Linked DNA regions of Xenopus tropicalis. The protein of the gene in region 2 interacts with the protein of the main gene of each other region in a pairwise test. Links are inferred from orthologs where the notes say so. Each region holds a gene or a part of one and is shown on either strand. Other genes may lie near its edges.

The links. The genes of interacting proteins can lie anywhere in the genome.
Region 1: the proteins of pex6 (region 2) and pex26 come close enough for resonance energy transfer, tested with the Homo sapiens proteins (2 studies listed by BioGRID). The link is inferred for Xenopus tropicalis from reciprocal best matches to the Homo sapiens genes PEX6 and PEX26.

What each region holds. Positions count from the first base shown.
Region 1 is NC_030679.2:8,464,019-8,470,709, reverse strand, and holds the start of pex26 (peroxisome assembly protein 26), read right to left. Parts: upstream 3,858-6,691; 5' UTR 3,826-3,857; coding exon 3,785-3,825; exon of another isoform or gene 3,775-3,784; intron 3,576-3,774; coding exon 3,363-3,575; intron 2,588-3,362; coding exon 2,447-2,587; intron 2,141-2,446; coding exon 1,824-2,140; intron 763-1,823; coding exon 616-762; intron 1-615. UniProt on the Homo sapiens protein: Peroxisomal docking factor that anchors PEX1 and PEX6 to peroxisome membranes. PEX26 is therefore required for the formation of the PEX1-PEX6 AAA ATPase complex, a complex that mediates the extraction of the PEX5 receptor from peroxisomal membrane.
Region 2 is NC_030681.2:308,207-315,013, forward strand, and holds the start of pex6 (peroxisome biogenesis factor 6), read right to left. Parts: upstream 4,262-6,807; 5' UTR 4,175-4,261; coding exon 3,554-4,174; intron 582-3,553; coding exon 430-581; intron 153-429; coding exon 69-152; intron 1-68. Other genes in the region: mea1 (male-enhanced antigen 1), read right to left, coding at 6,696-6,807. UniProt on the Homo sapiens protein: Component of the PEX1-PEX6 AAA ATPase complex, a protein dislocase complex that mediates the ATP-dependent extraction of the PEX5 receptor from peroxisomal membranes, an essential step for PEX5 recycling.

The sequences.
Region 1 (6,691 bases), on a different chromosome or scaffold from region 2:
TTAGCAGTCACTGAGGGGTTCTGTGCCCATATAAAGGCACAAGGCTGCAGGCTGAGTTATACAGGGAACTCTGAGTATCACTCATGTATTATAAGGGATAATGTACCCCTACTGTAAATGATAAGGATATTAGCAGTCACTGAGGGGTTCTGTGCCCATATAAAGGCACAAGGCTGCAGGCTGAGTTATACAGGGAACTCTGAGTATCACTCATGTATTATAAGGGATGATGTACCCCCTACTGTAAATGATAAGGATATTAGCAGTCACTGAGGGGTTCTGTGACCATATAAAGGCACAAGGCTGTTTTATACAGGTCAATGAACAACATGTAACAAAGTACATAATTAAGTACTAGATAAAACTGACGCATCATAGTTTATAAGAATATCTATTGCAGAATTGCCAAGGGTCCGGTATAATTTATAGCTATTAGAATTCCTTCACCAGGCCCAATTTGTCAATTACCACAAACATGTTAAAGGGTCACACCTCCTGCGCTCCATGAAAATATACCAAACCAGTTTATCAGCCCGTAAGCTGATATGAGCGAAAATGTATGGCTCAGACATCCGTTAATACAATCAGATGGTTCTCCGGACAATAACGACTTACCCGGGTCCAATCGCAGTAGAATAATAGTGATGAGTAAAACAGCGAGGGCTGCATTCCGGAAAGGGGTCCTACGTATTATTCCTGCAATCATACCCAGAGCCCTTAACAGCAGATGGGCCACATTTTGGATTCTTGTCTGTACCTTACCTGCAACGATAGAAAGGATTAGTTATAAAAGTCTCAGTTGCGAAAAAAGACTGGGTTGGGTTTGTTTACACTGGAGAAGAGGCGCTTAAGGGGGGACATGATAACTATGTATAAATATATAAGGGGATCATATAATAACCTCTCTAATGCTTTATTTACCAGTAGGGCCTTCCAACGGACACGAGGGCACCCACTCCGTTTAGAAGAAGGGAGTGGGTGTCTTTTTTCAATCTAACTTACTATGTTACTATTATTATACATGATGGGATGGTGGTACACTTGGGCAGGTTAGAAAGGCAACAATGGGCAACCAGCAGCCCACCCTCCCCACCACCCTATGGCTTCGCCTATGGGCACCATTATTCAGGTCAAACATTTGCTTTTCAGAGCTTGCAACCATCTATGTGAACAGGACTGGGAAATGCCCTAGCCTACCCACCGATTCACTGCTGCCCAGCAATAAACGGGTTTAAATACTCATTCAAAATTGCACAGTCTCTTAAGGTGCCCATACACAGGCCGATTGTAGCTGCCGATATGGACCGATTCGGCAGGTTATCGGCCCGTGTAGGGGAAACAACATCTGGCCTGCCTGAACGACATCTGGCCTGCCTGACCAACATCTGGCCTGCCTGACCAACATCTGGCCTGCCTGACCAACATCTGGCCTGCCTGACCAACATCTGGCCTGAAATCGGGCAGATATCGATCGGGCAGGTTAAAAAATTTAGTCAGATCGGGGACCGCATCGGCTCGTTGATGCGGTCCCCGAACTAACTGCGCCTATTCCAGTCGTTATAATTTGATTGTTTGGCCCCAGGGCCAAACAACTGAATTAGCTTAATTCACCCGATATTACCCACCTGTAGGTGGGGATATTGGGAGAAGATCTGCTCGCTTGGCGACCTTGCCAGGTGAGCGGATCTTTACGTGTATGGCCACCTATCTGTGTTTTTACGACCCAACTGCTGCAATTGTAGACTCTTCTACAGACAGTCTGCCGGGGCTGCAGTGCAAGTGTTCACAGTATGGGTGGATCTGATTGGCAGGAATGTTCATACCAGTTCGTCCCATTGACTCTGATTGGCTGTGCTCGTCCCTCTCTGTAGCGGCAGCAGCTTCATACTCTTCCCACTGTCTCCTGTGTTCGCTCACAAGCGCCAAGGCTATGTGCCTCTGCTTTTCCGTGAATACATCCGAATCCTGAGCCAGCACTTCAGCATCAGAAAACAGCCCCAGGGGTAGTAGTATGTGCAGCAGATGGAGCTCTGCAACCCTGCAGCAGTTTGGCAGTAGCCGATTGGCTTGGACTTGCAACCAATCACTACTTACTTCCAGCATAACTTGTGGCTGCTTTACCTTCCCATACAACAAAATGCTAAAAAAAAAAAAAAAGAGAATACAATGAAAATATACAGACGTTTAGGGATCAGGGGGCAGTATATACATTTAATATCAGTGTAGGCACAAGGGATATTAATGTATTAATGCCCCCTACCTGTATGTTTCTGGACTGGCGGAAGAAGCCCCTCAAAACTACATGGCAAGCTCAATTTATTTAGTGTTAAAAGTACAATCTAAACCAAGACCCCAATTCTACCATGATGCAGACTGCAATCTAAAGTCTACGACAAAAGCAGCGCTTATAGTAAGGAAAGGCTTGATATATGATATACTCACTCACCACATCTCCATAATATTGTAAGGCATCTCCTGTGGGGTTTGGTAATACTGAATTAGCCAAGGAAGCACTTCCCTCCATCTTCCCAACTCAACCAGACACTGAATCGCAACGACACAGAGAGACGTCTTCACCTGCTCACACCTCAAGGATAAAGGACACGTCAGACTGAACATTAAATAATAAACAAATCAAAAACTGCAAATAGTCTCAGAACAAAACTGTTTACAGCATTCTAAAAGTTAAGGTAAAGGTAAACTCCTTGAAGCTAAGGGGGGGCCCAGCCTGAAGGCCAGTTAGGGGGGGATTTGGGGTGAGTGCTTATTTGTGCCCTGGGTACCCCTGGAACTATAGCAGGGTGACTGTTACCCCAATGTTTCTATATATCTGTAACCTTGTTATGGGCTAAGGGGGCCCAGCCTGAAGGCCAGTTAGGGGGGGATTTGGGGTGAGTGCTTATTTGTGCCCTGGGTACCCCTGGAACTATAGCAGGGTGACTGTTACCCCAGTGTTTCTATATATCTGTAACCTTGTTATGGTCTAAGGGGGCCCAGCCTGAAGGCCAGTTAGGGGGGAGATTTGGGGTGAGTGCTTATTTGTGCCCTGGGTACCCCTGGAACTATAGCAGGGTGACTGTTACCCCAATGTTTCTATATATCTGTAACCTTGTTATGGGCTAAGGGGGCCCAGCCTGAAGGCCAGTTAGGGGGGGATTTGGGGTGAGTGCTTATTTGTGCCCTGGGTACCCCTGGAACTATAGCGGGGTGACTGTTACCCCAATGTTTCTATATATCTGTAACCTTGTTATGGGCTAAGGGGGCCCAACCTGAAGGCCAGTTAGGGGGAGATTTGGGGTGAGTGCTTCCCCATTACTTCTATACACTTTGTGATGAGAGAAAGGGAACTCAAAGCAACTCACTTTGCATCTGTTGGTTCAGCAGACAGGATCTGTAGGCCTCTCTCACAGATTCCAAGGGAAGCTGCAAAGTTTCTCTCCAGCACCAGCAGGTCGGCAGCTGCGTCCAACAGCGGCACGGCAGGGGGGGTCCCAGACAATGACAGATGCGACCAATCCCACATAGCGCTTAGCGAACAGCTGGACACATTTTCTGCAACTGCCATGGGGTTCCTGCTAACAAGGGAAGAGAACATGTACAATTTAATATTGCGTACGAAAGAGAGTTTTTTTTAGTGTCTTTACGTCTAAGCCCCCACACTTTACTGTAACCAACCTTCCCTGCCCTGCAATATGTCCTCCCCCTAAATAATAATACACTTCCTGCACACAGTTATTACAGGTTAAAGAGCACAGACTGGACAGACAGCAAAACCTTATCTCACTGAATTAGTCCCAGAACAGAACAGCATTCCCCCCTTGCCATAAACACAACATAGGTCCACCCCTCACCCACAATTCCACTATTACAACTGCACCTTTCTGACATTTACACACGGACAGGTGGAACGCATAAGCTCCACAGACCGGAAGTTCTGACTGTGACACACTGACAGGTGGAACGCATAAGCTCCACAGACCGGAAGTTCTAGCTCAATGCCTGCTAAGGATCTGATTGGGTCGCAGAACCATGTGACAGTATCCTTGCAAACGATAGGCCGAGTACTTCGTATGGAGTTGTGGCAAAGACACAGAGGGATAGCAGTGTAGCAGGGGCAGTTGTGTGGGGAAGGGGAGGGGCCCTTACTGAAAGGAAAACTTAATATCTAAATAAAACAATATACTGCTTTGTTTTTTAAAGTGTGTATGAGGCAGAGCCTTGTGTTTTAGCTGGTGCCATGCTATGGCTGGGTCTGCCATTCTGCCAATCTCTATTGTGCCATACCCTTCTCCTGTTGTCAGGGAGAAAGAGGGGGTACTATTGTGTGGGGGCAGGTTTGGCCCAAACAATTGCCACCTTAGGTGCAGGTCAGCTTTGCCCACATATAGTTCACTGAATCGGTACTGTACAGGTTCAATTTAATTTGTTTCAGGCTCTGCTATTGATCTTCCAAACTGCTCCCTTGTTGCTAGGGTAATCAAGTCCTAACAACCACATAGCAATTGGTCTTCATTTTGTATTCCTTATAGTTTTTGAATTATTTGCCTTCTTCTGATTCTTTCCAGTTTTCAAAAGGGGGTCACTGACCCCCAGCAGCCAAAAACTATTGTTCTGGTTTTACAATTTTATTGTCTTATTAGTTATTGTTTAGCCCATTTCCTATTCATATCCCTCCCATTCAAACCCCTGCCTGGTTGCTAGGTTCATTTGGACCCTAGCAACCAGATACCTGTTGGAGATCTGCTGAACAAAAAGCTAAATAATACAAAAACCACAAATAATAAAAAAAAGAAGACCAAATACAGGTATGGGATCCCTTATCCGGAAACCCGTTATCCAGAAAGTTCCGAATTTAAGGCCATCTCCCATAGACTCCATTATTACCAAATAGTTCTAATTTTTAAAAATGTATTAATAAAACAGTAACTTGTACTTGATCCCAACTAAGATATAATTACTCCTTATTGGGGGCAGAACAGCCCTATTGGGTTTATTTAATGGTTAAATGATTCCCTTTTCTCTGTAATAATAAAACAGTACCTGTACTTGATCCCAACTAAGATATAATTACCCCTTATTGGGGGCAGAACAGCCCTATTGGGTTTATTTAATGGTTAAATGATTCCCTTTTCTCTGTAATAATAAAACAGTACCTGTACTTGATCCCAACTAAGATATAATTACCCCTTATTGGGGGCAGAACAGCCCTATTGGGTTTATTTCATGGTTAAATGATTCCCTTTTCTCTGTAATAATAAAACAGTACCTGTACTTGATCCCAACTAAGATATAATTACCCCTTATTGGGGCAGAACAGCCCTATTGGGTTTATTTCATGGTTAAATGATTCCCTTTTCTCTGTAATAATAAAACAGTACCTGTACTTGATCCCAACTAAGATATAATTACCCCTTATTGGGGCAGAACAGCCCTATTGGGTTTATTTCATGGTTAAATGATTCCCTTTTCTCTGTAATAATAAAACAGTACCTGTACTTGATCCCAACTAAGATATAATTACCCCTTATTGGGGCAGAACAGCCCTATTGGGTTTATTTAATGGTTAAATGATTCCCTTTTCTCTGTAATAATAAAACAGTACCTGTACTTGATCCCAACTAAGATATAATTACCCCTTATTGGGGCAGAACAGCCCTATTGGGTTTATTTAATGGTTAAATGATTCCCTTTTCTCTGTAATAATAAAACAGTACCTGTACTTGATCCCAACTAAGATATAATTACCCCTTATTGGGGGCAGAACAGCCCTATTGGGTTTGATTAATGGTTAAATGATTCTGTGTAATAAAAAAAAAAGTACCCGTACTTGATCCCAAATTACGGAACTATCCCTTATCCGGAAAACCCCAGGTCCCAAGCATTCTGGATAATAGGTCCCATACCTGTAGTCTCATGTAGTGTGGTTAATGTAAAGCAATACCCAAAGGGAACCAAATGAATTGATGTTATCTCTCTGCACAGATAATAAGCAAACTAAAGGGACTGTTAATAAGCTGGCTTCTTCTACAGTGATTCAGGAGTCGGAACACACAGAGAGTATAAACAGTCAAAGATACTGTTTAATAGCCATTACATTGACAAATATCTATCAATTCATTGAAAGGTGTAATGAAGGTATATTGGGAAACTGCTTAGAATTACAATATGCAAAGAACACAATGTTTGGGTGGAGTTCCCCTTTAAAACTCACTTTCTTTTACATTCCCTTTGAGGCGTGGCGGTCGGCTGAATGTGCTCTAAGGAGGCAACTCTGATCCGCACCAGGAGCGCTACCCACACACGCCAGCTGTCACCAAATGCTCTCGGGCTCCGGCTGAGCCGGCAGGTCCATAGATATCACAGGAGTCAGGGAAGTCTGGTAGCGCAGGGAGGAATTTTATTGAAATGTAGCCCTTTCTTCAACAAAGCAACAAACAACATGGGAGAACCCCATAACATTTACATTTCATTGAAAAAATATAAATGGAGTAGATAAATGGAGTGCACAGACCTTTTCTGCCCAAGATACCCCTGCTGCCCCCTGTTTTGCAATAGAAACTTATGGTATGAGCTTTCCCTCATATATAGTATATACTGTATATTCTATTTCCCTGCTGCACCTTGGCACTCCTATAGCTATGTAGAAATGCAGCCAAACCGCGACTGTACTGCGGCTAAGTAGTTCAGCCAT
Region 2 (6,807 bases):
ACGGAACAGTCCAACTGTAACACTATTACAGATATGGGGTTACAGTGCAGGGAATGAGGGGTACACACCTGCCGGCCCGTCTCGGATTGTTCTGTAAAAACTCCCCATGTGAGAGCGATGAGAGGCACAGAATATCCCCGCGCTGAATGACCCTAGGGGCGGAGCCAGAGAGACAAGCCAATGAGGAACCAGAGAGAGAGAGACATTGCCCAACGGGTTAGTGAGAGTGGCCCCAGGGGAAAGAAAAAGCACTGACTGGCACAGGGGCCACAAGCAGCTGATGGGAGAACCTCATACACATGGCAATTACTGGCCAATCCGGGCAGCCCTTTCATTTCTACTCAACTGTGCGTTTTAATAAGGACCCACTGCTATAACTTCCTCTGCCTGGAGGGGGGGGGATGGGCAGGTACCCCAATAGACACTGACCTGGCAGTTAGGAAGTGGTGGAACAAAGCCTGCCTGTAGGGGGCATCACTGTCGTACGATGGAGACGCCACAATCTGCACACAGAGCTGCTTGGCCAAGGGGGGTCCAACGAGAGCAGAACTGCCTCCCTCCAATGTGTCAGAACAGAACCTCTAAGGAAAAAAATAATGCAATGAGGCCCCTCCCCCTTTTCTCTCTTTCAGCACAAAGCAATGTGCCTAAAGCCACACCTACTAGCCACAGCCCTGCCCCCATATCAAGCATGGCTGCCTTGGTCTCTCTAGTACCCTCCCCTTTTATATACCCAATCTGTTATCTACTATTATTCCTAGATCCCCTCCCATTACTGAGTTATACACAGAATTATACTTGTACCCCTGTATCAGTGGGTTATACCCAATCTCTTATCTACTATTATTCCTAGATCCCTCCCATTACTGATTTATACACAGAATTATACTTGTACCCCTGTATCAGTGGGTTATACCCAATCTGTTATCTACTATTATTCCTAGATCCCCTCCCATTCCTGATTTATACACAGAATTATACTTGTACCCCTGTATCAGTGAGTTATACCCAATCTGTTATCTACTATTATTCCTAGATCCCCTCCCATTCCTGATTTATACACAGAATTATACTTGTACCCCTGTATCAGTGAGTTATACCCAATCTGTTATCTACTATTATTCCTAGATCCCCTCCCATTACTGATTTATACACAGAATTATACTTGTAGCCCTGTAACAGTGAGTTATACCCAATCTGTTATCTACTATTATTCCTAGATCCCTCCCATTACTGATTTATACACAGACCTATACCTGTACCCCTGTATCAGTGGGTTATACCCAATCTGTTATCTGCTATTATTCCTAGATCCCTCCCATTACTGATTTATACACAGAATTATACCTGTACCCCTGTATCATTGGGTTATACCCAATCTGTTATCTACTATTATTCCTAGATCCCTTCTGTATCAGTGAGTTATACCCAATCTGTTATCTTCTATTATTCCTAGATCCCTCTCATTATTGATTTATACACTGAATTATGAGTTATACCCAATCTGTTATCTACTATTATTCCTAGATCCCTCCCATTACTGATTTATACGCAGAATTATGAGTTATACCCAATCTCTTATCTACTATTATTCCTAGATCCCTCCCATTACTGATTTATACGCAGAATTATACTTGTACCCCTGTATCAGTGATTTATACCCAATCTGTTATCTACTATTATTCCTAGATCCCTTCCCATTACTGATTTATACACAGAATTATACTTGTACCCCTGTATCAGTGAGTTATGCCAATCTGTTATCTACTATTATTCCTAGATCCCTCCCCATTACTGATTTATACACTGAATTATACGAGTTATACCCAATCTGTTATTTACTATTATTCCTAGATCCTTCCCCATTACTGATTTATACACTGAATTATACCCAATCTGTTATCTACTATTATTCCTAGATCCCTCCCATTACTGATTTATACACAGAATTATACTTGTAGCCCTGTATCAGTGGGTTATACCCAATCTGTTATCTACTATTATTCCTAGATCCCCTCCCATTACTGATTTATACACAGAATTATACTTGTACCCCTGTATCAGTGTGTTATACCCAATCTGTTATCTACTATTATTCCTAGATCCCTTCCCATTACTGATTTATACACAGAATTATACTTGTACCCCTGTATCAGTGAGTTATACCCAATCTCTTATCTACTATTATTCCTAGATCCCCTCCCATTACTGATTTATACACAGAATTATACTTGTACCCCTGTATCAGTGGGTTATACCCAATCTGTTATCTACTATTATTCCTAGATCCCTTCCCATTACTGATTTATACACAGAATTATACTTGTACCCCTGTATCAGTGAGTTATACCCAATCTCTTATCTACTATTATTCCTAGATCCCCTCCCATTACTGATTTATACACAGAATTATACTTGTACCCCTGTATCAGTGGGTTATACCCAATCTGTTATCTACTATTATTCCTAGATCCCTCCCATTACTGATTTATACACAGACCTATACCTGTACCCCTGTATCAGTGGGTTATACCCAATCTCTTATCTACTATTATTCCTAGATCCCTCCCATTACTGATTTATACACAGACCTATACCTGTACCCCTGTATCAGTGGGTTATACCCAATCTGTTATCTACTATTATTCCTAGATCCCTTCCCATTACTGATTTATACACAGAATTATACTTGTACCCCTGTATCAGTGGGTTATAACCAATCTGTTATCTACTATTATTCCTAGATCCCTTCCCATTACTGATTTATACACAGAATTATACTTGTAGCCCTGTATCAGTGGGTTATACCCAATCTGTTATCTACTATTATTCCTAGATCCCCTCCCATTACTGATTTATACACAGAATTATACTTGTACCCCTGTATCAGTGTGTTATACCCAATCTGTTATCTACTATTATTCCTAGATCCCTCCCCATTACTGATTTATACACTGAATTGAGTTATACCCAATCTGTTATCTACCATTATTCCTAGATCCCTCCCATTACTGATTTATACACAGACCTATACTTGTACCCCTGTATCAGTGGGTTATACCCAATCTGTTATCTATTATTCCTAGATCCCCTCCCATTACTGATTTATACACAGAATTATACTTGTACCCCTGTATCAGTGGGTTATACCCAATCTGTTATCTACTATTATTCCTAGATCCCTTCCCATTACTGATTTATACACAGAATTATACTTGTACCCCTGTATCAGTGGGTTATACCCAATCTGTTATCTACTATTATTCCTAGATCCCCTCCCATTACTGATTTATACACAGAATTATACTTGTAGCCCTGTATCAGTGGGTTATACCCAATCTGTTATCTACTATTATTCCTAGATCCCCTCCCATTACTGATTTATACACAGAATTATACTTGTACCCCTGTATCAGTGAGTTATACCCAATCTGCTATCTACTATTATTCCTAGATCCTGTTTAGTACAACCAATACCCAGAGAAACTAAAGCAATAGGGTAAGTGGGTACAAGCTGCCCCACACGGGGGTATCTGGCACCGGGTGCTCTCACCTGTATGAGAATCTCACTGAGAGGCCGAGTCCGGGGCGCCAGGTTAAAGAGGAGGGGGGCAGAGATGAGGGCAGTGTGGGTGCCAGTGGGGAAGCCATAGGGGAGGGTACTATGGGGGTAGGTGCCAGGGGGGAGGGTACTATGGGGGTAGGTGCCAGGGGGGAGGGTACTATGGGGGTAGGTGCCAGGGGGGAGGGTACTATGGGGGTAGGTGCCAGGGGGGGCAGACAAGTTGCTGAGAAGGTGCCGGTACTTGTCAGGTTGCCCCCAGCAGAACTCAGTAGCCAATATGATGGCGAGGTGCCCCCCCTGCCCCTCCCCCCCCGGCACCGCCCATACCCACACCCACTCCCGGTGGAAGAAGCCCAAGTCCCGCAGTTGGCTCTTAGTGACCCACACAGCCGCCCCCCGATCCACCGGGCCCCCCAACTCCTGCAGCCTCCCTGCCCGCACCATGGCCTCGGCATCTATAGGGGCCACACGGAGCCTGCGGGGCGCAACTTCCCGGGCAAAGCTGGACAGTACGGGAGCCGTGAGGGCCCAGGGTCTCTCCCCCAGCGCCTCCTCTCCCATCATCCTCTGCTGCCCATTCGTCTCCCCCAGCGCCTCCTCTCCCATCATCCTCTGCTGCCCATTCCCCCCCACACAGGCTCCGCCCCCGGCCAGGTACAAAAGTCCATTTACATCCCGCCGGGGGCGGAGTTAGGACTCTCATCCTGCGAGAGTGTGACGTCACCGGGGCGGGGCCGCTTGGGGGGAATGTTCCATGAGTGGAAATGGGGGGAGTCCGGCCCGGGAACCGCCCCTCCCTGTCAGTTTGTTCCTTGTGGCGGGGAATAGTTCCCAGTAACACTGTTCCCTACAGCCCGGGGGGGGGGCTTTAACCCTTCAACTTCACTTCTGTGTCCAATCAGGAGAAAGGGAATTAAAGGAAACCCCTAACCCTGTATTCATTATATGAATAATACCCGGTGCTGGTTTCCCTTTGGGCTAAACATTAACCCTATCTGTACCAATGGCCCCTTTATTGGAGATCCCTATAGATCCTCTCAGGTCCCTGTCTGGGTTTCATATGGGGGGTGGGCGTGTCCTAATGGTCCCTGTAGGAGGGGGAGAGCCAATCACAGCCCTGCACTCACACGAGCACAGACAGGCTTCAGTTCCCTATCAGGTCAGCCTAGCTGCTGATTGGCTCCTATCCTACAGTGCCGCCGCCCCCCTGCACAGTCTGGGAAAGGAGGCAGCAGGAAGTGGCACAGATGGGCGGGGCTAGTGGGGTTTGGGGGGAAAGGAGGCGATAGGAAGTGGAACAGATGGGCGGGGCTAGTGGGGTTTTGGGGGGAAAGGAGGCAACAGGAAGTGGCACAGATGGGCGGGGCTAGTGGGGTTTGGGGGAAAGGAGGCGATAGGAAGTGGAACAGATGGGCGGGGCTAGTGGGGTTTTGGGGGGAAAGGAGGCAACAGGAAGTGGCACAGATGGGCGGGGCTAGTGGAGTTTTGGGGGGAAAGGAGGCGATAGGAAGTGGAACAGATGGGCGGGGCTAGTGGGGTTTTGGGGGGAAAGGAGGCGACAGGAAGTGGCACAGATGGGCGGGGCTAGTGGAGTTTTGGGGGGAAAGGAGGCGGCAGGAAGTGGCACAGATGGGCGGGGCTAGTGGGGTTTGGGGGGAATTTCTCAATAAATCAGCTGGAAACACAACTTTATTTTAAGCACAGTCCTTCTGTATACAGAGGAGTATAATTCCCTGGCACATTATTAACTTGTAGAGGAAATTGCAAGTTGTGCTTCTGACTCTCCTCAGTGACAGCGTGGGATCCTCACAGCAACTCTCAACAGATCTGAAGACAAAGACTGTTCAGTATCAGGGTTTAGGGGGAGGCTACAAACAACTCAGATCTCAGAGGGTTAAACTGTCGGTTCCAACTGTAAGGAACGTAATGAGGAAATGCTGATTTGCAGCAGTCTGTCCCTGCTCGGCAGCTGTCACATGGAACTGGGGGGAGTCTGTATGGGCACTGATGGGGCAGAAATACCCCCATAAAGAACCCACACACTCACCCAGGGCTATAGGCTCATGTAGATTCTGCACCAACTGCAACTCCCACAGCTACTTCCTGGTCTAGCGTCAAGCTCCACCCCCTTAGATTGTAAGCTCACTGGGGCAGGAACTGATGAGAATGTGATAGGGACCTTAGATTGTAAGCTCACTGGGGCAGGGGCTGATGGGAATGTGATAGGGGCCTTAGATTGTAAGCTCACTGGGGCAGGGGCTGATGGGAATGGGATAGGGGCCTTAGATTGTAAGCTCACTGGGGCAGGGGCTGATGGGAATGGGATAGGGACCTTAAATTGTAAGCTCACTGGGGCAGGGGCTGATGGGAATGGGATAGGGGCCTTAGATTGTAAGCTCACTGGGGCAGGGGCTGATGGGAATGGGATAGGGACCTTAGATTGTAAGCTCACTGGGGCAGGGGCTGATGGGAATGGGATAGGGACCTTAGATTGTAAGCTCACTGGGGCAGGGGCTGATGGGAATTGGATAGGGACCTTAGATTGTAAGCTCACTGGGGCAGGGGCTGATGGGAATGGGATAGGGACCTTAGATTGTAAGCTCACTGGGGCAGGGACTGATGGGAATGTGATAGGGACCTTAGATTGTAAGCTCACTGGGATAGGGACTGATGGGAATGGGATAGGGGCCTTAGATTGTAAGCTCACTGGGGCAGGGACTGATGGGAATGGGATAGGGACCTTAGATTGTAAGCTCACTGGGACAGGGGCTGATGGGAATGGGATAGGGACCTTAGATTGTAAGCTCACTGGGGCAGGGGCTGATGGGAATGGGCCGCACAACAGACGAAGGCACTATATATATATATAACAATAAAGCCCCCCCACACACACACACTGACCAGGGTGGGGTTTGTGCACATAACATTTATTGGCTCGGTACTGCGAGGGTTAACCCTGACCCAGTTGCGGTTGGTCGGGGGGAGCCCCCACATAGTGAGAGGAACAAACACCCCATATGGACTGTACCATGCGCTGCCGGGCTGGGGGGGTCCTATTCCCTGCACCAATACACAACCGCCCCAGCCCAAAACGATTGTCCAATAAGAAGAGCCCCAGCCGGGGGGGCAATTATTTCTTGCCAGACGGAGGGGCCGCTGCTCGTGATTGGATCGTCTGATGAACCAGATGCTCCCAGTCTGCGTCGGAAATCTGCTCCGCCCACAGCGGCACCGACAGGGAG